Linked DNA regions of Caenorhabditis elegans. The protein of the gene in region 1 interacts with the protein of each later gene in a pairwise test. Each region holds a gene or a part of one and is shown in the gene's direction. Other genes may lie near its edges.

Evidence for each region.
Region 2: the proteins of lin-11 (region 1) and let-391 interact in a two-hybrid assay, tested with the Caenorhabditis elegans proteins (one large-scale study listed by BioGRID).
Region 3: the proteins of lin-11 (region 1) and tbx-33 interact in a two-hybrid assay, tested with the Caenorhabditis elegans proteins (one large-scale study listed by BioGRID).
Region 4: the proteins of lin-11 (region 1) and miz-1 interact in a two-hybrid assay, tested with the Caenorhabditis elegans proteins (one large-scale study listed by BioGRID).

Annotation. Positions count from the first base shown.
Region 1 is NC_003279.8:10,246,416-10,254,299, forward strand, and holds the start of lin-11 (Protein lin-11), read left to right. Parts: upstream 1-1,876; 5' UTR 1,877-1,923; coding exon 1,924-2,156; intron 2,157-2,362; coding exon 2,363-2,491; intron 2,492-3,258; coding exon 3,259-3,397; intron 3,398-4,752; coding exon 4,753-4,843; intron 4,844-5,428; coding exon 5,429-5,490; intron 5,491-5,795; coding exon 5,796-5,897; intron 5,898-6,220; coding exon 6,221-6,322; intron 6,323-7,606; coding exon 7,607-7,721; intron 7,722-7,884. UniProt on the Caenorhabditis elegans protein: Probable transcription factor which is required for asymmetric division of vulval blast cells. Involved in olfactory plasticity probably by regulating the expression of transcription factor mbr-1 in RIF neurons.
Region 2 is NC_003279.8:6,036,559-6,041,777, forward strand, and holds let-391 (C2H2-type domain-containing protein), read left to right. Parts: upstream 1-1,844; 5' UTR 1,845-1,872; coding exon 1,873-1,899; intron 1,900-1,978; coding exon 1,979-2,091; intron 2,092-2,136; coding exon 2,137-2,215; intron 2,216-2,265; coding exon 2,266-2,466; intron 2,467-2,560; coding exon 2,561-2,679; intron 2,680-2,983; coding exon 2,984-3,296; intron 3,297-3,707; coding exon 3,708-3,906; intron 3,907-4,106; coding exon 4,107-4,417; 3' UTR 4,418-4,709; downstream 4,710-5,219. Other genes in the region: C27A12.4 (C2H2-type domain-containing protein), read left to right, coding at 5-923; szy-5 (C2H2-type domain-containing protein), read left to right, coding at 5,116-5,219.
Region 3 is NC_003281.10:11,632,681-11,638,675, reverse strand, and holds tbx-33 (Putative T-box protein 33), read left to right. Parts: upstream 1-1,835; 5' UTR 1,836-1,850; coding exon 1,851-2,025; intron 2,026-2,154; coding exon 2,155-2,311; intron 2,312-2,995; coding exon 2,996-3,344; intron 3,345-3,612; coding exon 3,613-3,744; intron 3,745-4,820; coding exon 4,821-5,270; 3' UTR 5,271-5,460; downstream 5,461-5,995.
Region 4 is NC_003282.8:10,810,587-10,815,403, forward strand, and holds the start of miz-1 (Zmiz1 N-terminal tetratricopeptide repeat domain-containing protein), read left to right. Parts: upstream 1-1,812; 5' UTR 1,813-1,841; coding exon 1,842-1,907; intron 1,908-2,313; coding exon 2,314-2,427; intron 2,428-2,473; coding exon 2,474-2,579; intron 2,580-3,350; coding exon 3,351-3,567; intron 3,568-4,817.

The DNA of each region.
Region 1 (7,884 bases):
GTCGACATTTTTTAAAGATACTTTTCTGTAATCAAATTAAACTCTTTCTTGTTGCTCCATTACAGTCTTCATATGATCAGAAATCTTCTCATTCATGAATTGAGGAATTTCCACTGAATCACATTCTACCGTCATCTCATTCCGCTCGTCTTCTATTACCGTAATCCTTCAGTTTTATTTCCAATTTCTGCGCGAAATGGCATTGTTTCAGTAGGAGGTGACAAGCCCGAAATGGGATGACACTAGACCAAGGACAACCTCACCGGAAGAAAAAATAACAATCACTGAACTCGTAGATATAGTTGACACACAAGAAATGACAAGTTCAAAATGAGAAAATCATTTCACTTTTACTCTAGTTGTATACGTGACACTTTTGATTTCATATCGAATGAGTTTGTCCTTCTATCCAGCTGATTCTGTTCGGTTGGATGTGGTTTGTATTATATTGAAAACATGCCCAAAGTCAAACAGGTGAAGAGCAGAACTTTTTGCTCGAAACCTGATTGAAACTGTGTTTATTTGTTCCATTGACGGCTCTTTGAATTAAAATTTTGAATTGGTGGTGTCTAAAGATTTCATTTGGTCGAGGCGTCAAGGGGCGCCTCTGATCCGTCGATTCACTGGTATTTATCAAGAGATTGCTTCTGTGGGTTAAATAAGTTTTGGTTGTATTTTACCGGACTAGCTATTCTTTTTTCAATGTGCTGAAAAACAATTTGAATACAGAATTACAGAGCTTGCGAAGTTTTGAACTGAGAAAAATCCTTCTAATTTAGGATATTTGTTCCTAAAATAACATGTAATACAAAAAAGTAAAAATCATTGTAGTTGTATGACCCCGATGAAAACAAATGGAAAGTTTCAAAGTAGCGAATTAAATCTTAGCGCACTCAATTATACAACTTTAACAGCTCAGAAAGTGTTCAATTAAAAATTCAATTGAAATTAAAAGAAACATTTTAAAGCTTCCGATTTCGGAACGATAATCAAACTTTTTGAATTTAAAATGTATGTATAAAAATATTGTATTAATTTGAAAATAACCCCAATCTTTTTTGCGAAGATTGAAAAGAATCTGAAAAACTGGCTGAATGTTGACTGCCTAAAAAAATATCACAAACAATTTTTATGGAAAATGGCAAATTTAAGGAAAAGTTTGACGATTTTTCTGAAATTTTTAATAAAATTGACTTGGTTTTCATATGAACCAAATATTTTTCTAGATTTCCACATTTGAAAAGTTGCGTTATTGTACCAAAGTGGGCCGTTTTGTAGATTGGTACAAAATTAATATATACGGTATCCCATTTTAGACAATCGTTCTTCTGGTAAAAAATTCCAGAAAAAATCCGAAAAAAATTAAACGTAATTTGCAAAACTTGATCGTAGAATAATGTCACTATCAAAACAAAAATTACTAAAAACCACCCCTTGAAGTTATAAAAACTACCCTATTAGACTTGCACCCCTTTTGATCTACTTTAAAAGCTTATATTTTTGCTGTCTTTAGTTTTTATCAAAATTGTAAACTGATAAAATACTTGGAAAATATTTTTCTTTATTTCTCATGTTGACTATTTTTGATATAACTGAAGATAACAGAGATATAAGGTGTGAAAGAAAACGTAGTGCAATACAGAAAATACGGTGAATGAAAAATATTTGAACTATCATGAGCATTTAAACCAAAAGCGATCCCTATTCTCTCGTTCTTCTTATTTTTCTTCTAGGCTTCAACATTCGTAATTTCCTCTCTCTCTTTCCCTCAATAGCTCTCATTCTTCAGGCTTTCTCTCTCTCTCTCTCTCTCTTGTGTCAATAACTCCGCCCATCAACCAGCCAGCCTCCTGGTGCCCCAACCACCGTAACCTTCGTGGTCGTTCTTCTTCTTCTTCTCCTCCTCCTTTTACTCCCTTCTCAATGCATTCTTCTTCTTCGTTCATCATCACCTCACTGGAAGAAGAGGAGAAGAAGCCTCCTGCTCATCATCTTCATCAGCAGTCAATTGAAGACGTCGGCAGTGTCACCTCATCTGCCACGTTGCTGCTTCTCGACTCTGCCACGTGGATGATGCCATCGTCAACGACTCAGCCGCACATCTCTGAAATTAGTGGAAATGAGTGTGCCGCGTGTGCACAGCCTATTCTTGACAGGTATCGGTCCCTCACCTTTTTTTGCAATTTATGATTATTTTCCGTTTAGTCTCATTCCAATTTTCATCTCTAGCTGCTGTAACACCACCTCTCTCGCCCCTAATTGAATTTTTCCATTTTCGATTCATTTCCCCCTCTCAACCCCTTCGACAGCAGCAGCACTAGCAGTCATTTCATTTTCAGCCGACACTTTCACTTACTTTCAGATATGTATTCACTGTGCTCGGAAAATGCTGGCATCAGTCTTGTCTTCGATGTTGTGACTGTCGAGCGCCCATGTCAATGACTTGTTTTAGTAGAGATGGTCTTATTCTGTGTAAAACTGATTTTTCAAGGTAAGTTCCGAGCAACATTAATTTCTAAGAACTGTGATCTATAAAGAGCCGGGCTGCAAGTTTTGAGCTCTTGGAGATAGTTCAAAAACATCTTACAATTAGGTTGTGATGAATTTTCCATTGAATTTTCCAGTGTGCAAACTTTAAAAGTTCTAACTGAACGCTGAAGTTTTGAAGCTGAAAACCTCTAAGATTCTTCAACAGTGACAATTTCAAAATTCCAAATTTTTAGTCAAAAGTTTATGTAAAAATATATAAAACATGATCAATTTGAAAACTACGTTTATTTTCATTGAAAAATAAAAAAAAGTCCTGAAATCTGGTATGAAATTGTAATAACTATTTTCTGGTAGATGTCAATTTTCAGTAAGTCTCTCAGATTTTTTTCAGTCTTTTGCAACATATTTTTCATATTGAAAAATTGGTTTTTTTCATGCCAATTCAAATAATCGTACTGCGAATCGTCACCCACTCCTGGATATATTGTAGTTCCAAAACTTTGCCAAAAAGGGCTAGGAGAATATATTCAAGCAAATGACGGCATAAAATTTAAAGATTCCGCAATTCCAAAATCCTCCCAAAACATGTTCTAAAGTTTTGAAGATCATATTCCAAAATTCTCAAATTTCTTATGCTTTCAAGCTCACTTGTAGTAAACAAATCTTACTTGCTTATTTTGATTTTCAAATTTCAAATTCTATATCTAAATTTTCCCACGGTTCCCACGGTGTCCATAATTATTTTACCTACCTGATTGTGATTTTCAGGCGATATAGTCAACGGTGTGCCGGATGCGATGGGAAATTGGAAAAAGAGGATCTGGTGAGACGAGCAAGAGATAAAGTTTTTCATATTCGATGTTTTCAATGCTCCGTTTGTCAAAGGTTATTGGACACTGGTGACCAGGTGAGCCAGGCTAAGCCTCTTCTCTATATAAGATTGATTGTACTTTTGATCTTATATATTAATCCAGGCTGGTACCTTAATTGAACTAAAGTTTCAAATAAGTTTTATATTATTTAAGGCTGACGGTAAGTGATATTTGACGTTTTAACTGGCAGTTCTTTTTAAGCTTGTCTCCACCATTATCAAGGTTTTTCTATAAGTTGAGCGGTGACTCAGATGAAATTAGATATTCATAGTCGCTATTTTCTCACGTCTAACTTATACTGATAAGCCCATTTGCAAATAAGATACGCAGATCCCTAAAAATCACATGCTCACACCTCTTGAATGTGTCCCCATCATGAGCCCCTGTCAGTTGCACCTGCCTCTTACCGAGAGCTCTCTACCACTCAAGCTTCACGCCTTCTTGTCATTCAAAATGTTTTGTTTTCTTGAATAGAAGATGTCACTGAATGTCATTGATGCTGTTCTGAGTATTGTTTTGACTCATGTAGATGAAACAGATAGTTGATTAAAATTTTGATCATAAACATTATAGGGAACATCAAAAACTATTTCTGTCTAGAGGCGCGCTGAATATCTAAAAACCCTCTCAACTTCCATACTGTTTGTTTTGGTATAATAATTCTACTTTTTAAAAAAGAAAAATTAATGTAGAAATATAGAAAAAAATATTCGATTGACTTCAAAATAATGAATAAATATTTTAAATGGAACGTTTGAAAAATACTTCAAGTACTGTTTCGGAAGTTATCAAAACTACTGTTAAAGTTTTTCAGATTTTTTGAACTTTTCCAAAAAAAAAACACTTTATTTCAGATCAATCAAATATTTTAATTTTTTTAAAATTTGTTTTATTTGAAAAATTTGGTTGTCGTTGTATAGTTGCCGGAAGTATTTGCCGGACACCATACTTTAAACATTTCTCATTATCAGTTGAAAAACAATACGTTAAAACAATTTTCCAAGAATACTAGGATTTTGGAGCAACCGTTCAAAATGTCTCGAGGCGCATATTATCTTCTCATTGCTCATTGCTTCTGCTTATATTAATTTCAAATCAGTTAAACTACCCACTGACCAACCGGTAGATCTTATCTCAATGCCATTTTCCTTCCATTTTCCATCCTGTCTTCCTGCTTCAAAACCTTCCCCAATTCCCTTTGGGATGTGTCCTGTTGTCACTCTACAATCATCTTCTTTCCATCCGTCTCTAACCTATTATACTTTATAATTGCATTACACGGGGGACCTAGTCAAGGTTTGAGACAGCTCCAACTGTCATGAAAATATGCGAGGGGTTCCCACGATTGTTTTTGTTTTTTTTTCGCGGAATTTTTAGTGTTATTTTGCAGCTTTATATCATGGAAGGCAATCGATTCGTGTGTCAAAGTGATTTTCAAACAGCAACCAAAACATCAACGCCCACATCGATTCATAGGCCCGGTAAGGTTTTTAAAAATAAAGAAAGGGAAAGAGAAAGAGACGAAGAATTGAGTTTTAAAGATAATACAAAAGTTGTTCAAAGTTATGGTAGAAGGTGGAGTTTTCATAAAATTGTTGACTGCTGAGGCGTCCAAGGCCTACTCCAATAATTGAATGAAGGCAGATAGGCTAGAGGCAGACAAGTGAGCCTGAACACATGCCTACCTACCATGAAATTCTTTATCTCTGAAGTAACACCGCCAGACATAATTTTCAGTAGATACCCAAAAAGTCAAAAAAGAATTCCCAGATTTCAAGTCATAAAATCCTTAGAAATTTCTTCTTCTTCTCATAAAACCAGAGACATACGTTCTAATCCATGCTTCCGTTTCAAACGTATTTAAGATGAGCCAGCGAGCCATGTGTTGTTTGAATAGTTTTACGATGATAGGTATCTCTGCACAAAAGAGGAAGAGACAGACAGCTGTCAACACAGAAAACATTTCTTTGTATTCGAATTACCGCAAAATAGTAAGGAAGGGGGGATAATCTCGTTGCGGAATGGACATACACTGGTATTAGACAGATGATGTTCTTTTGTTACAGTATCCAATGGATCCGAATGCAATTCCGATGTGGAGGAGGATAATGTGGATGCTTGTGATGAGGTGGGTCTGAAATATATACTTCTCTGGAATTGCCATTTAGGATCAGTTTTTACTTTTTTTTAAAATAGAAAGTTCTAGTAGTGGCTAAAAAGTTTGCTGTAAACGAATCTTTAAAAAATACAAATATTTTTCTAATCAGTTTAATAAAGAAGCATACTTCCCTACTTTTGACAGCTGGTATCATTTGAAATGATTGCAAAAATGGCTCAACACTAAAAATATTGAAAAGATTTAACCTATAACTTACAAGTCAAAATGTTTTGTTAGAACCAAAGTGAATCTAATCTAACTTATTAAAATTTCAGGTCGGACTCGATGATGGAGAAGGCGATTGTGGGAAGGACAATTCAGATGACTCGAATTCTGCGAAAAGGCGTGGCCCTCGAACGACAATTAAAGCAAAACAAGTGAGTTTTCTGAAGTAGAAAAAATTATCTATGTCGGAAAGGAAAGTGCAAACATAATTATTGAAATAACTTTTTGAAAAAATAATTAAATTTCTAAATCCAGGTCAGTGTAACAAATATTTTGTCAGTTGACAATTTTTTGGTAAAACATAGTCTGATCAAGATTTGTGCTGCCAAAGTTGGGCAAAACTGACAGAGGATATCAGATTTTAAAATTCTAATTAATGTTTGATAAAGAATCCAGCGTTTCCTGCTGAAAATCTTGAATTTCCCCACTTAAAAAATATCTTATTACTGTCCAAAGCTTCAATAAATATTTTCAGCTTGAAACCTTAAAAAACGCGTTCGCCGCAACACCCAAACCAACTCGACATATCCGTGAACAACTTGCCGCCGAGACAGGACTCAACATGAGAGTCATTCAGGTTTCTATTCTTCTTCTTTTTTTCTTTTTTTGCACATGTCTAAGTATCCTCGAAATGCACTATCTCTCACAAATTCTCATTTCCCGCTTTAATTCACCTGCCCCGCCCTTCTCTCTCTTGGGGGAGGACACATCCTTCCACACGCACACACACAAATTCAATTACCGTAGTCCTTGAAAGGAGAGAGAGGGAAAAACGGAAAGAAGAAAAAGAGAAAAAAGTGAGTGGATACTGTAGTTTCTAACTAATATCATGTTATTTACTGTAAGAAAGATGTACACATCACATGATTTTTATGTAACAATAGAAATAATAATGATCATAATCATAATAACTGATAACAGGAAACTTAACGGAAAGCCATAGGAAATTGGTTGTGTTTAGAGAGCTATACGAAAATGATGATGAAAGAGAAAATGGGAAACAATTTCAATTTGGAAGATAAAAATCTGAGTGGTCAAGGGAGAGAATTGCAATGAGAAATTTGAGTTGAACTCAGAAAATTCGTTTTTTTGTTCAAATTTTTGAACCCTGAATATTCGGAATTCCAAAATTAATTGTAGTCTTAATTTTTTGTGTGAAATATTTTTAGCCTACTTCCACCGATCAATTAAATTTTAATTCTGTTTATCTGCACAGTTGCCCCATAATAGTAAACTTAAAAAACTGCTAACACATAACTTTTAGTGTTTTGATTCGAAAATTTGGAAATAACTGAACTAAAAAAGGGTTCGCTCTCTATATTGATTTTTTTCAAAAATTTAATCTTCGTGTACAGTGTTTTAGTTCACTTTTAAACTTCTAAATGAAAAAGTAGTCAACTACAGAGGACCATTCGGAACTGAAAAAACTCGATCTGAATAGAACTTTTTTTCATAAAAACATATGATTGAAAAAAAAATTCGACTATTTTTTCTTTTTTTTCTTGGATTTCTGGACTTGGGAAAATAATCCGGGCGTTTTCGAAAATTTTTCAATCGTTCAAAACAATCTGAAATTTTAAAAATTGAATTTGGGTGATAAAAGATTCAGTAATTTTTTTCAAAAAATTCAAAGTTTCCAAAATCTTTAAGAATCTTCCATAAATCTACTTTTGGTAAAATTCCGAGAATGAAAATGAACAATTTCAGATCGGCTTTTTCAAGTTCAAAATGCTCTTCTACAGATAACATAATTTTTCTGTGGGGCTCACTCAAAATATATTTTTCCAAATGACACAGGGTTTACCTTTAATAGATAATTTTCTCCATTAATTTGTTTTCCAAATAAATTTCCATTTTACAGGTGTGGTTTCAAAACCGCCGAAGCAAGGAACGAAGAATGAAACAACTTCGTTTTGGAGGATATCGTCAATCCCGAAGACCACGCCGTGACGATATTGTAGATATGTTCCCGAATGGTGAGTCCACTTAATCGCTTCTTCTCGTTCTCAAATATTACGCAACACCAATTATCACGGTAGCGTGAAAAACAGATGAAAACACGAGGGTAGGGCGTTAGAAGCAGGTGTTCCAATGGCAAAAAGTCGATTTTCTGCACAATATGTACTAGGTTAAGCTGGA
Region 2 (5,219 bases), 4.2 Mb from region 1:
TCAGGAGGACTTACCTCTACCGTTGCAAGAAGTGCTGCATGGATCTCACGGATCCGAGCCAACTCTACAACCATCACAGCGTCACCAATGGAGACCTGTGCACCTCGAAGACCGCGGAAATGGAAGTACTTCCTCCGATAGGAAGAGATAAATCGGTGGATCGTCATAGGTCGCTGAACGTATTTCTTATGGTTATATCGAAGGAAGAATACCATAAGCATAGGACTTCCTCCAATTATGCCCACAACACTCGGAGGACTGGAGGAACTCCTGCTTATGATGATCTTCCGTGTTTCAATCAGATCTCGAGGAAGAAAACATCCTACAGCCACCAGGTTCCGGAAATCGATGTAGAGCTCAACAGTTCTTCCACATCAGCTCTTCCAATTAAAGAAGAGGTTACTACAAGGAGCCCTGCACCAAATATGGGTTTTTGCGAAGTACGCCAGCTCCCAAAAGACTCCAGAGGGCCTCAGAGAGATGGCTCCTCATCTCCTGATGTTCAGTTCATCAAGACTGTGACTATGTCACGGTTAGAGAATGTTGTTCCTACCAGCTCACGTGGAAAGGCGCCAGAAGATTCATCTGCACCAGCACGTCTAGGATTCCTCTCCGATCGTGCGGTCTCCGGGTCATCAATCCCAGCCGTCGAGGAAAGATCTGGAGAAGGCAGCTTCGACTTTACAGGTCCTTCCACTCCTCGCTTGGCCCAGCCAGCTTTTGGGAACTTTTTTGGGAATAGGGCGAGTTCTTCGTCTTTCGGTGCACCATTGTCAACTCTAGCTGTGGACAAGCTGATTCCGGAACCTCATCTCTCCGGAAGCAAAGCGGTCCCAGACCATCGTTTCGATTTCAAACATTTCAGACGTCTCCGAGCAGCGGGAGGAGGGCCCCTCAAGGCGATCGCCGATGTCTCCATCTAATCAACGGGGACGTGGAGCAGGACACCAGCCACGTAACAGGGAACATACACCGAAATCGCCATTGAGAAACCAGAGGGTGAGTAATTTGCAAAATGACCTAGTTTATTCCTCGATCATGCGAAAAAACCAACTAAATCTATCTGTAAATTTCACAGCGTGGTCGCCGAAGCCCCTCGACAGATGAGTGGACCCCCAGACGTTCAGAGCATCACCATCGTCGTGACTATAGAAGAAGAAAGCGGGATTATTCAAGAGATCGCTCACGCCATCACGGAGATCGTTATTAAATTCCATGTTGCATCTCAATTTCTTTTTCTTCGATTTCTCGAGTATTGAGCCTTTATTCACATTCCTTCTCGTATGTTCATAATAAATATTCTATCTACGTTAAAAGTAAAATATTCTATCTACGTAAATCTCCTTGTCTAACGCTCAATACACAACACAAAACATTCGCCTATTTCTTAGACTCGTAAAACTTCCTGATTTCCTTATGAATTTGCATGATCAACGTGCTGCTGTTTCACTATGAACATTTTCTACTCGTATGTTATCCGAACGGCTTTTATCAATTTAAAGATTAAACTCCAATATTTGAATGGAAATGAAGATGTGATGGCAATGATCTATTCATTACTTCTTCTTCTGTCTCGTTAAGAAACAAGATTTCAGCCGTTGCAAAGAATTATATTTATTAAACCCTCAATTCAAATTTCGCGCTCTTTCGAAGACGGGATATCGGAGTGTCGTTGTTTATTTTCAATTTTATTTTTTATTCGCAAAAAATCAATATTTGACTTTTTCTTCTATTTAAAACAGTTTTTGTTGAATTTTTCCTTTCATATAAATATTATTAATCTTTAAAATTTTTATGTTTATATGATTAAATCTTCCTTATTGCCATTAATTGTGTATTTTTCCAGATCCTAAAATTCGATAAACAACCAAAATGAAGAATAACGAGGATTTAGACGAAGTAGTACATTTATCGCAAGTAAAATAACTAATTTCAATTTAGTTTTCCAATTTTCATTAAGAAAATCAAAAATTTTCAGAATTCCGATGCAATTTTCGAGGAATGGGCAGCTGAGTGCACTCCCGACGCGCAAAAAGAGCACGAAGAGCTCGAGGAGATTGTCAAGATTCCAGATTCGACATACAGAAAAAAGTATGAAATTTTTGTGCTAAAAATTTATTAAATATAAAATTGAAGGAAAGGAAATCAAAAGTTGCCGACGGTGACGACGTGCGAAGTATGTGGAGTTGCGTTGAAATATCCATCGAGGATTATGGTACAGAATATTTTATTTTTATAACAAAATGAAGATTTTTATTTGTTCAGGAACACATGAGAACTCACACAGGCGAAAAACCATACGAATGTGACATTTGTGGAATGAGATTCACTCAAAGAACTCCAATGATTAACCATTTTCGTGTTCAACACATGGGTGATCTCCCATTTCTGTGTAATTTCGGTTGTGGCAAACGATTTGTGAATAATTCACGCAGAACTGCACACGAATTAAGCCATAATGGATTGGTAAGAAAAGTTTTTATGCTATAGAAAAATTTAAAACATCGAATCAAGCATTTATATCCTAAAAGATTACCGGAATAAGATATATTTTTTGCAGAAGCGAGCAGGACCGGCACGGCCTTATCTGAAACCAGTTAAAAAGATTGTTTGTCCATCAATGGATATGGATATACTTTCAAATTCTGCACTAGCTAATTATATATCACCACCAACGATGTAAGTATATGCAGAAGTGAACTAAACTTGATAAAATAAATAAAAATTACAACAAAAAACAAGAATTATAAGATTTTACATTTTTTAAAAAGTGAATTGCGGTGTTTAATCAGCAATCTTTAAAATTGAGATTTTAACACTTTTTGTTCTTTAACAAATTTTAAAACAACATTTAAAAAATCGGTGTTTTAATTAATAAAAAACTTTGATAATTTAAATAAAACTCCTGAAAATTTCTAAATTCGAAAACTTCCATCTTATTTCCGAATTGGTAAATTTAAAAGAAATTAAAATAACTTTGCAGAGACTCAATATTTCAAAGTGATCCATCAACTTCTTCCTCTTCACCTTCTCAATTTCAATCATCAAATCAAACAACAAAACAATCTATATATCCATCAGAAAAAGAAATGGAAAAAGCTGCAATATCTAATGCTCGAATTGATGACGTTATTAATACAGTATTGGCTCGAGTTTTGGCTCCGATTGATGAAGAAATTCCGATCGAAGAACCAGAAAAAGCTCCTCAGAAAAGAGCATATATTTCAAATCGAAGAGCAACACTTGCACAATGCAATATTTGTGGATTAATGCTTAAACATCCGAGCAAAATTGCTGTTAGTTTTTTTTTCGATAAAAAACGAATTTTGGTGAAAAATGAAAAATTAAAATTATTTCAGTGCCCACAAGCTGAATTTTTGCTGAAAAATTGAGAATTGGACAGAGAAACAATTTTTTCGATAAAAAGCATTCGAAACTTGATTTTCTGAGCAAACAGAAAAAAATATTTGTAATTAAAATTTTTTAAATCAAAGCTTATAGGTTTAAATGTGTTAAAAAACAAAATTTCCAATTTTCTCTCTATTTATAAACCTCTCAAGTTCTGAAATTTCTAGAAAAATATAATATGATTTATTATATCGAAAATTGTTGAATTTTCTAAACTTTGAAATCAAAAATTACAATTTTTAATAAAAAAAAGAAAGATAAATTTATTTTTAAATACAAATTTCTTTCCCATTTTTCAGGATCATATCCGAACACACACAGGCGAAAAACCATTTGAATGTGGAGAATGTGGCTTGTCATTGTCAAAAGCGAGCTCTTTAAAAGTACATATTCGTCGAATGCATACTGGAGAACGTCCATTTGAATGTACTTGGAGATGTGGATTGTCTTTTGTAACGGATTCTGTTAGAAAAGAACATGAAATGACTGTACACACTGGTAAATATTCAAAATATATTTTACTATCCGAAATTTGGGTTAAAACCGGGGGTAATTTAGAAAAAGAAAGCAATTTCCATTTTTTTTTGTTGCAAATTTTAGAATTTTCTCAAATTAAGAGTGTTATTGAAAATATGTTAACTCAAAAATATTTAAAAGAGTAGTCATCTACAAAAATTACAATTTTTGAAACATTCCAGGTATAAAACGTTACACATGCGTTGTAAAAGGATGTAATGCAGTATTTGCTCGTCGTGTATATCTCATGAGACATCGAAAAAATGCACATCCCGAGCTCTTCACACCAATTTTCGATCATGTTCAAGTGAATCACGAGGAATCACAGGATTCAGTTATTGTTTATGAAGATGATCATGAACAGAACAATCAGATTATAATGCTCACTGGTGATGGTGATGACGTCAAGATCTTGGCTCATTTTGAAGATGATGAAGAGGAATTTGTGGAGCAAGGAGGAAGCATGGAAGATCAAAAAACTGTTCATTTTTGACCAGAAACTTGAAAAAGCTCTTTCATTTTCCAATATCTAGGCAACTTATAGGGTAACTAGCATTTTCTACTTCATATATTCAGTTTTCTATTCCACCCAGCAATTAGTTTTTAAAATGGAAGAGTTATTCAAATTTCAAATTTCTAGGCCACTATTAAATTTTGCATTTTTTAACCATTTTTTTCATTCAAATTCTAGAAAAATTGTGAGAATTAATTCTCACAATTTTCAGTTTATTTTGGTTAACCTACGAGTTTCTTTTTGCTTCTTTTTTTAATAAAGATTTTTTTTCTCAGATTTTTCAAATTTTTTTTCTTTTCCGTATTCAGTATTTTTACTGTTTAATTATACTTGCTTTTTTTTTATTGTTTGCCAATATATTTTGAAACTTTCTCCTTTCGCAAAAATTGAAAAGATGAGATTTTGAAATTTTTTTTAACATTTTCAAACTTTCAGCAAGCTATTTTTGAGCAGTTCGAAAAAATGTAGCGGTACTTTTTTTTTGAGCCCAATTTTCTATAAAATGTTTTAAAAGGGTTTAGAATGTAAAAAACCAATTAATTGTTTTTTTCAAATTTCACAAAATCCAAAACAAATTTTTTTAGATATACCTTTTTTAATTTGCTAAAAACTTTCTAAAGGTCCAGGAAGGCCCATAAAAAATTAACGTCGAAAAATAAAAATCGATATTTTCAGAAATGGCAGAATCTTGTGTAAAACCTCAACTACCTCGTCCTCGAATTCCAAATATTAGAGTTTTTCAACCAACTACTCGAATTCCCACATTTACATATGAACAATT
Region 3 (5,995 bases), on another chromosome or scaffold:
ATACTAATGGGTATACAGTTGATTGTAAACATGTGGAGAGATGTTGATGTTGTTCTGAATATCTTTGTCTTGTTTTACGATTTTTTTGGTTGATTTCTTATATATTTTTCCTGCTATAAATTCTAAAATGTGCGTTTTAATTTATGCCTACGTGCCTGCCTACCACCTATCTTCTGCAATTTGGAGTTTCGACTGTGGAGATACGTTTGAATTGGTTTTTTTCGCATTTCAATGTAAAAAAAGTCTCTAGGCAGATTTACGGCTGTAGGCGCTTTAGTAGGTGAGCGTAGGTTTGCAAAAAACGTAGGTCAATAGGCATGCATATTCCTTCAGGCAGGCGCAAAGGCCCTCAGGTATGCATAGGCTTGTAGACAGGCCTGAGTCTATAGGAAAGTGTAGGTCTGCAGGCATTCGGTCTCTAAGTTTGCGTAGATCTTGAGGCAGTTGCAGGTTTGTAGGCACTTGTAAAGGTAAGTAAGTAGGCGTAGGTCTGTTGGCAGGCTTCGGCTTAGATAAGCAGGTTCAGGACTGTATGATGGGGTAGGTCAGTTCGAGTTGTGGGCAGGAGTAGGTTTGTAGGCTTATAGACATTAGGCCTATAAGCATGCGTAAATCCGCAGGCACGTGCAGGTATGTAGGCAGGCGTAGGCCCGTAGGCAAGTGTAGGTCTGCAGGCATGAATGTAGGCATGGGTGTTTGGAAGACCTGCGAAAATTATTTTGGAATTCACGAAAATATGGTAACTTGCTAAGTTTCGACGTAGCTACTTTTACGTTTTTTTTTTTTTTTTTTTTTCATTTTTTTGTATACTTTTTCGGTATACTTTTTCCGTATCTTTCTCTCTTTTACCTACTCTCTTCTTTTACCAAATTTCCCTGACATGCTCTTCTAATAGAGGTGACCCCTAACTTCCCAATCAATAGGTACCAAGTATACCAGTTCCGCCTACTTACCTGACAGCCTACTGCTCCGCCCAGTGGATATAGATGGTTCGGTGGCTGGAATATTAAAGTAGTCATTCTTGTTTTTTGTTGTGGTCCTGGTAGATCAAATTTAGCTTTTTTGCTAAATATTCATTATATTTTTTTACTTTTCTAAACATTTCAATGTCTAAAGTAGAATTTTTTTTCTTTTTTTTCAAACATTTTTCAAAATTTATTATATTTTTTTAAATTATAAAAACAAAAACCTATTGTTTTTACAAGAAAACATTTATTTACCGAGTTTTCCAATTGTAACGTCCAAAATCATGGTTCCGGGTCTCGACACGACAAATATTTTTTTTGTTGGAATTTTCACCCTAGTTCTTTCGATTAAAAAATACATGTACTAAGTACAAAAACTCATAAATTTTACCGAAAATAAAAATTACAGTAGTCTTTAAAAGCACACACCTTTTTGAATTTGACAAAAAAATTCATGTCGAGATCGGGCGTAAATTGCAAAATTTCGCGTAAAATGATTTTTTTTTTCAGAATTTTCGAAAAAAAAAATCGGAATTTTTTTTTCAAATTTTCAGAAATTGAGCCAACCTGGAACTTTTATTTTTTTCAAAAAATTATTTTAATCTGGAATACTCTTAATTTTTCTCCAAATCTAATGTCAAATAAACAGGCCCCTTTCCTCCGCACATCTCCACTTTTTGACTGCCACGTCACCGATTTGACCTACCATTTTCCCGCTTTTTATGGGCCCTCTTGTCTTCTATTCCTCCTTCCGCAAAAAAGAGTGTAGACTAACTATAAGATTGTTTCTAACTTAATTTTCGTTTTTTTTTTGACGTTTTGGCCTTATTTAAATATTTTATATATATATATATATATATTTATTTTCAGAACTTATCCCCAAAGATGAATTATCAAAACGAACAAAACGCCTATCAAATGCAGAATCAGGAAAATGTTCCACCGATGAGTTACGGGTACCCAATGCCAACTCCGGAGCAATTCCAAAAAATGAGTTACGGGCAGAACTTCCAAGCTCCATGGGATATGCAGCAGCAGATTCAGATGTTTCAGCAATATCGTAAGTTTAATTTTTTTTTTGAAATCATGGTGCATCGAAAAAAAAATTTGTTTTGTAAATTTCGGGCAAAATAGTAACTTTATAATAGCAATATATTAGTAACAGGTTCAAATTTTAAAAAAATTTCAGACCAAAATTTCCAAGGAGGATATTCGGACCCATTCACCTACCAGAATCAGTATGCACATCAGCCAAAAATTGTGACGGTCACTTTGCAGGACCCACAGGACCTCTGGAAGGAGCTTCATTATTTGAGTAATGAGCAGAATGTGCTTAATAATGGGAGGTTAGTATTTTTCGTGAAAAATATTATTTAGTTTCAAAATTTTTGAAATTTTCTGAATCTGATGTACAAAATTTTTTTAAATTGCTCAATTTTTTTTGCCTGAAAATTTCGTCTGAAAAAAATGAGCAAAATTTTCGGCAAAAATTTTTTTTTGGAAAATTTTTGAAATTTTAAAAATGTAAAAAAGGATTTAAAAAAATATTTTTTCATAATTTTTAAATTTTTACAATTCTCCAAAGAAACATATTATTTGCTTATATTTTCCGAAAATCTTAAAGTCAAAAACAAACGTTCAAAAAAGTAAACCAACATTTGTTTTTATTAAAAAACAATTTTCGGAAAATTTTAATCTAAAAATTTAGTCAAAAAAGGGCGAAATTTTCTGCAAAATTTTTTTGTCCTAAGAATTTCAATGTTTACTTATTTTTTTAGGGATCAAATTTCATAAAAAATTTAAAAATTCATCTGAAAATTTTCCGCCAAAATTTTATTTTTCGGGAAAAAAATCTTAAATGTAATAGTTTCTCTGAAAAAAAATCGAAAATTAATTTTTTAACTTTGAAAATTTTCTCTTGTTTCTAAAGTTATATCGGATAATTTTGTCTGAACAAATTTGCAAAATTTTCAGCCAAAATTTTATTTATTTTTTTTTTTTAAATTTTATTTAAAACCAATTTTTTCCAGAAAAATCTTCCCAGCCCTCAACTACAAAGTCGAGCATCTCAATCCAGAATCCAACTACAAAGTGGAAATTTTGCTCCGCCGAATGGTCCCCTATCAGATTCAATATTCAAATGGAAGCTGGTCCCGGAAGAATGTACAGAGCAAGAAGACTATTGCAATGAAAACAGAAAAAGTATTTGTTGGAGAGTTCACTGGACAAGATATCATGCGTACCGGCTTGGATTTATCAGATGTGAAGGTGTTTAATATTGGAAGTGATAATAAGAAGAAAGTGACTCCATATGAAGAGATGAGTGACGCAGAGAAACGAGAGTATGATACTCAGTATTCGAAGAAGAAGACCTCCATGGTAGGTACTGCCAAAATGTGGGCGGGCGTAATCTTAAGCCGAAGCCTGATTCAAAGCCTAACCCGAACCCTAAGCCTAGGCCTAAGCCAAAGCCAAAGCCTAAGCCTAACCCTAAGCCTAACCCTAAGCCTAAACCTATACCTAATCCTAAACCTAAGCGTGAGCCAAAGCTTTATCCTAAGCCTAACCCTAAGCCTAAACCTATGCCTAATCCTAACCCTAAGAATAACCTAAATCATTAACAACTAATAATTCAAATTTTTTGCAGCTCGAGGTATCAAATGAGTGCAAGTACATCCCGGTACTCATCATCAACGAGATTCTACCAAATCAAGAGCTTCGATTGGTTGGGGAATTTGAGAACGAGATTACCCAATTTGCGACAGTTTCTTCATACAAGGTAAGACTATAAGGCTATAAGGCTTGATAAAAAATTAGAAGAGTTAGTAATTAAAATTGGCTATGAGAAAAAAATTTCTTTCAAAAAAATTCGAAAAAAATCGATAAAAAATTATTTTCAAAAAATCCCAAAATTTTGCCAACTTATATCTTTGTTTGTTTACAAGATAAAAACAAATGCTCAATTACAAAGTTATAGAAAAATACATGATAAGCATTTTGCTAGTTGACAATTTTTTGATACAGCTCAAAATTATTGAGATATAAGATGATGAATTTGAGCTATAAAATCGTCATAAAAAAATAATTGAAAAATGTTACAAATTGAAACATTGTTGCTACTTTATTTTTGAATTTCTTTCTAACAATGGAACAAATTCAGCGTTTGCTAAATTTATTTAGAATTTCAAACAAATTCAAAAAAAAAACCGCTGAAAATATTTAAAAAAAAAACGAACAAAATTAAAAAAAAAATCGCCAAGTTCCTAGTTTTCAATATTTTTTGAAAAATAAAAATCTTTAAATTTGGAAAATTTAAATTTACAATATTTTTCGGTTATTGCCGTATATTCAAAAAATTCACAAATTTTATACTTACTAATTTCTACAATTTTCTCGCTTTTTTGTATTGCCGAAAAAAGTCAATTTTAAAAATTTTCGGAATTTCTTTCGTTTTCCTTAATATTTTTTGGACTGTTTTTTTTCTAAAAAATGGATACAAAAATTCCACAAAATTTTAGAAAGATTCACAATTTTTTATTTAAAATTTTTTTTTACAATTTCTTTAAAAAAAAACAAATTTCCAATAACTTCCGGTCATTTTTATAATCAACAAATTTTCTACAGTTTCCATATTTTTTGTCGATAAAAAATTCGATAATTAGTCTTTTAAAACTTCTTTTTTTTTTAAAGATTTAACCAAAAAAATTCTGATTTTCATCATGATCAAGGCTGGGACCAAAAAATAATTTTACACCAAAAAAAAAACAAAACATTGAAATTTTCGAAAAAGCAAAAAAAAAAAAATTATGCTTCAATTTATTTTAAATCCTATCTATAATTTGTATAATTTTCCAGAACCACATCGTAAAAGCCTTGCGCACAGCCGCCAACCCAACTTCTCGCGGAGACGCCAAACAGGAAGCCGTTCAGGTCGGAAAGCAATGGAGATCATCCAACAAGTCCTTGCTGGAATCCCTCAGACCATCTATGATTTGCACCAGTGTCTCCACAACTGCTCCAAGCACCAATTTCCATGCTCCACTGCAGTACCCCGGCACCTCATCCCCATCCAGCAACTTTGCTCCAATGACACCTTCCACGTCATTCGACTCGGCGTACAGTTCCTTCAACGTGACGTCATCAACTCCAGAACAAATGTGCTACAATCCGATTCCTTCAATGTCAACTGACTACTCATTTTGCTCATTCGACTCTGCGACATCATCACCGCCACTTCAGCCAACAGCCACGTCACCAGAGGCTTCTCAAAATCAGATTAAACTTGAAATGAACCAATACATGTAATTATTAATTATTATCTCACTATTAACTTTTTCCTTCAAAAACGTTGTCAAAAAAGCAACTTGTCGATTTCTATGTTGAATAACCGTTTTCTTTCCGCTTTTTTCTTATTTCAGTGTTTTTATCTAGCCAACTTCAATAATTTCATCGTCCCGTGTTGCTTTTTTTTTTAAAATAAACTTCATTTTTGAATAGATTTTTGGATTTAAATTGATTTTAAAAATTAAATTAGAATTTAATTAAAACTTTGGGGATGTCTAATTAAAAGTATAAAATTTCTAAAAATTTTAATTGGAAACTCTAAATTAAAAAAAAAACTTTCAATATTCAAGTTTTGAAAGTAATAAAATCAAAATTTTTTTAAAATTTTGGCGGGAAATTCAAATTTTCTGAAAAGAGATTTGGCGGGAGATTCAAATTTTCTGAAAAAATTTTTTTGGAGGAAAATTCTAATTTTTTTTAGAACACGTGGTGCCAGGCTGTCCCATTACGGTTTGATCTACAAAATGCGGGAAGTTTTTGATCAAAAAATTGTGACGTCAACAAGCTCTTAACCATGCGAAATCAGTTGGGATGTCTGCGTCTCTTATCCCGCATTTTTTGTAGATCTACGTAGATCAAGCCGAAATGAGATACTCTGACACCACGTGTTAGAAAACATTTTGGCGGAAAATTACAATTTTCTAAGAAAACAATTTTTTGCGGGAAATTCAAAAACTTGGCCACCG
Region 4 (4,817 bases), on another chromosome or scaffold:
ACATTATTACGTGATTTTAAAAAAAATTTAAATATGGAATTTATAGTTAGTTATAATCCCTTAATAGTAAGCTTCTGCCCAATTTTTTTGGATAGACTTTTTCATAACTAAATTTAAAAAATAGGCAAAATTCCATTACATGTTTCTGACAAAAATCATGAAAACTCTGAAATTTTGCATCACCTTTAAAAAAAAAGAAAACTTGATTACGAAACCTCAGAAAATTCCAAAAATGATTGAGCAAAATTTCAGTATATTTTGAATTAACTTTCACTATCGAGGTTAGATTCTTTTTCTGTCGATATATAAATCCTACAAAATTGTTCTTATTGTTCCTCGAAAAAGTGTCTCAACAAAATTATGATTTCTGTTTTATCATTCTAATCAATCATCTTTATATCAAGTTGGAAGCAAATAGATTCGCAATCAATTTCATAGGTATCACATGATAGCAACATCTGAACTTTTGGTAGTTTTGGAGGGAATGTTCTTTTTTTGGTCTGATAATAGCAGTGAGCAAACAGTGATGTACGAAAAGGTCAGAGATATATTTAACACTTGAAACTTTTACACAGAAAGTGCAAATTATTCGCAATGTTCAATGCTCAGGTGTTCCTATTCCTTTTAATTAAATGTGGAGTAGCGCTCGTGGAGATTTTCAAGGAAGTTGGGTCAAAAATTCAGGAAAGTATTTGATGAAATATCTAGCATAGTTTCGTAGTCTTCACGATGATAATTTTCTGAAACCGAATGCAATAGTACAAGATATAAGATACCTCTGGGTGTTCTGAATATTTAAAACTTTGAAAGTACATAAAAATTCTAAATAACTTTAATCGTTTCTGACTTATGATATTTTGAATTATTGTTCCATCATCTCTTTTCCACTTTTCTTATTCTTCTTGTCCCATATGTAAATGATCCGTTTTCTCTCGATCTCTGTGTCTTCCATCGTCCCTCCATCTCGTACTTGATGAGAGCTCAGAAACCCAAGACATTTGGTCGCAATCATTTCTCTCCATACGCTGCGCCTCTCCGATTGAGATGCTCTCTTGCTCGGCTTGTTTATGTGTATTTATTTATACGTGTGTTCCGGTTGCTCCGCGCACCGCGTCATTGCCGCGCGGAGCTCGCACGTGTTTTCCGGACACATGCATGGCGCTGCTCCAATGCCAATGCTCACCTCCACAAGCCAACAACCAATTTTCTGACGATTTCTTCTGAATAGCCCTACGCTTTTTTCGTGCTTCATATGATTTTTGAATCATCAAGATTCCAGTTTGAGATTCTAGTTTCCACAGTTTTTTTTTCTGATGAAACATTTCATAACCTTTTTTTGTCGTTCAGATTCATTGCTTTTATTCCTTAAACTCGAATAGTATTTTGATTGTTTTGAATACTAATAACATTTTACCATTTTTGTTTCTTCAAATTTTTTAATAACGCCACTTGCAAGTTTTGACATATTCTAAAGTTTTATAAAAAATTTCGATATTTCCTAAAACCTTGCTAGTTTTTATTACAATTCGTATTTCTTTTAAACTTTTAAGAGCCTGTTGCTTGTTACGTCTTTCAGCCGAGTTATATATATATAATATTAATTTCTCTTTTTTCGAGTGTTCAATTTTCAATTTTTTAACTTTTCACACGTCACAATATCTTTACACAAATGTCCACTAAACTTTTTATTGGACAATAAATCACAATCCAATCGTTTTAATTGTCTCTTTTTCTTTTTCATCTCTCTTCATTTCTCCCTCGTATTCGTCTTTTTTCCTGATTTTCTATAAATTGGATTGAAACCCAATAAGTCAATTTTCAGGGTCCTTAACTCAGCCGACATGGCTGATCCTACCTTTGCGGAGCACGTGGCCACAACGAACAGTCGACTTGCTTCACTCAGAGCTGTATGTTTCCAAAAAATGCTTCTAGTGATATTTTCCAAGAATCTCTAGTTTTTAGAGTTAGTATTAATTTTTATTTATTGACTATTGACAATATTATGCATACAGCGAAAATTTATGCATTTAATAAAAATTGCTACATACAACAAAAATGCAATTATTTGATTTTTAATTGAGAACAAAACTTTAAGAATTATTTTACCGCATTTTTTAACAATACTACTACCCATAACAAGATTATTTTAACAGAGCCCCATAAAATTTTAAATGAGCATTTACAACATTATAACACTTCTTAATTCTGAAAAATTACATATAAAACTTCCGAAATTTCGAACTTTATTAAAGTCGTGCAGGTAAAATTAAAGAAATCATAGACCTAGTTCAATTACAAAAAAAACAATTTCAGAACCTAATCGATGTGTCAACATTTCCGGAAGCGTGTAGCGAACTTACCAAATGGTGTCAAGATCAACGAGCTTTTACTGCTCACTTTGAGGATAACTTGATGATGGCTTTAGAAGTACACTTTCAAATAAAATTAAACATGGCGAATGTAAAATTTTCAGGCGGCAATGGATTATGGGACCAGGGAAAATTACGATTATATGCTTACTCATGGCCTAGTTGGAGCTTGTTTCACACACCGGAAGCATCTATCAAAGCCAGCAGCCAGTAAGTTGAACACATTTCCGGATTGAACTTGTTGGCCTGTCTATGATCGTTATCAGAAAAAATTATTTTCTGTCTGGAAATGGAGTTTAGATAACAAAATTTAAATAATTTTATTAGGCCATGTTGCTCTGTTTTTAAAAATTACATTTCCAAGTTTGTCATGAGTATCCTTCACTGACATACTATTAAAAAAATGTTTTTGATTTTTTTAAACTGGTTTTAAAAATAGGCACGCAGAAATAGAATTCCTTTTAAAAACAATTTTTCACTGTTTCAAAATTTCTTGATCATTCAATTTATTTCTGTGTACTACTATTAAATCTTTCACAAGGAATTTATATTTCAAGATTTTCATCAAAATTGTGACAAGAACAAACAAAGTTTCTAAAACGATTTATTATTTTTAAGTGTTTTAAAGAAATAAATAAATAAAAATTATCGTTGTTGCAACTCCACCTCTATTTGTATGTTCCAGAAAAATTAATTTTCTCAGCCCTGATAATTCTTTCAATATTTTGATGCTCTTGTGCTTAAATTTTCGAAGAGTGGCCAAACCCTGCTCAGACTTGACCTTCCTTGTCCTGACTTGTAATACATGAAAACATATGCTGAACAAAAGTTTGTCCAAAGTTTGGTCAAAGTGTTCGATTTCTTGCAAAGTTAAATGAACGAAGACAAAATGAAGAAGCGGGCGGTCACATTCAAGTATACCAAAAAATTCCCTATTCTCCAGCAGATTTTTTGAAACCCTCTAAAAATCTAAATTTTCAGCTCGAATCGGCCGGTGGTACGAGCAAATGCGTCGATTAAAAAAGAACGGTGGAAAACGAAAACGTGCTCCACCAAAACCCAAAGATCCAGCATTACAAGCTTCATCTCAACCGACCGGAACACTTCCTGTTCTAACGTCACCTTCTTGCCCTCAAAATGGACAACAACTGCCAACTGAAAACAACAACTTCATGTTCTCTCCGAATTCTTCTGACGGGTTAGTTCTCGTGATTTTTTCTTCTTCGATTAATTTTTCTCTGAAGATAAGAGTAAATGCAAAAAAAAGAAAATTTTAATCTGGCTCTGACACTGACACTGATAGATTAATCTATACACATTTATGAGTTAGGAACATAAATTTATGAGCTCATGTGAGGGTTAGTAGGATTTTGGATTTTGTTTTTAGTTCCGAAAGCATGTGATTTTGAGTTTTTTTTTTGAAAACATAAGTACGGTATTTGCATGCTCAGTGTTTTTTTTTGTTTTGAAAGTTTGCCCGCATGCATCAATTCGAATTATACTTAGATATTACCACGTTTTGTCAAATTTTCAAACTGTTTAAATAACCTACTGTCCATATAACTTGTATCCTTATCCAATTATTTTAATTGTAATAATCAGCTATTTGATATTTTAACGACTAACAAAGAAATTCTTTTGGAAAAGTAATACAAGATGAAATACGAATTTTCCATTTTGAAACATAAAAGTTACGGTAGTTTGTCCAATTTCCTTTTTTTTACGTATTCATGCCGATCCCAAGCATTCTTTTTCCGTAGGAGTAATAAAAACAGAAGTATCTTGCTTTCTATCCTAATTCTTTTTTATTCTCATTCTCCTCGTGCTCTTCCAAAAGACACCAACACAAAATTTTCCAAAAAAAGAAGAAAAAGCTTGCATACTATGTTCTCTCCTTGCTCCTCCCATTTTTTGAACTGGCAGAAGCCAAACACCGCTGTCGGCTTCGGTTTTAGAGATTGAGAGTAAAAATAAAGCTAGGAGCGAAAGCGAATTCTTTTTCTGGCACCGCTTCATCAATTAAGCAACAAAACACATAGGGAAAGAGGGAAAATACTCGGGTATAATACTCGGGAAAATAAAATACTCGGGTATATTTTTTTGGTCCATTCAAAAAATTTTTTAATTATTTTTGAATGTATTTTATAACCAGCAATTCAGTTTAGCATTTCAAAGTAATGCATAACATTAAAAACCTGTTTTTTTTTCGTTCAGTAAGATTTTAAGCTTCCAGATTATGTTGCGAATTTATTTTCATATTCATAATTTCAAAATGAAGGCTGAAATTTTTGAATCTCGCTCACTATCCAGCTAAAAATGTTAACACTAGATTAAAAACTTATTTTCTTAAGTATTTACATCAAAACATGTGATTTCTTAACTTGACAATCAAAATAAAATATTCCAACCAATTTTTCATGAAAATTAAACATTCCAAACTTACGTTTT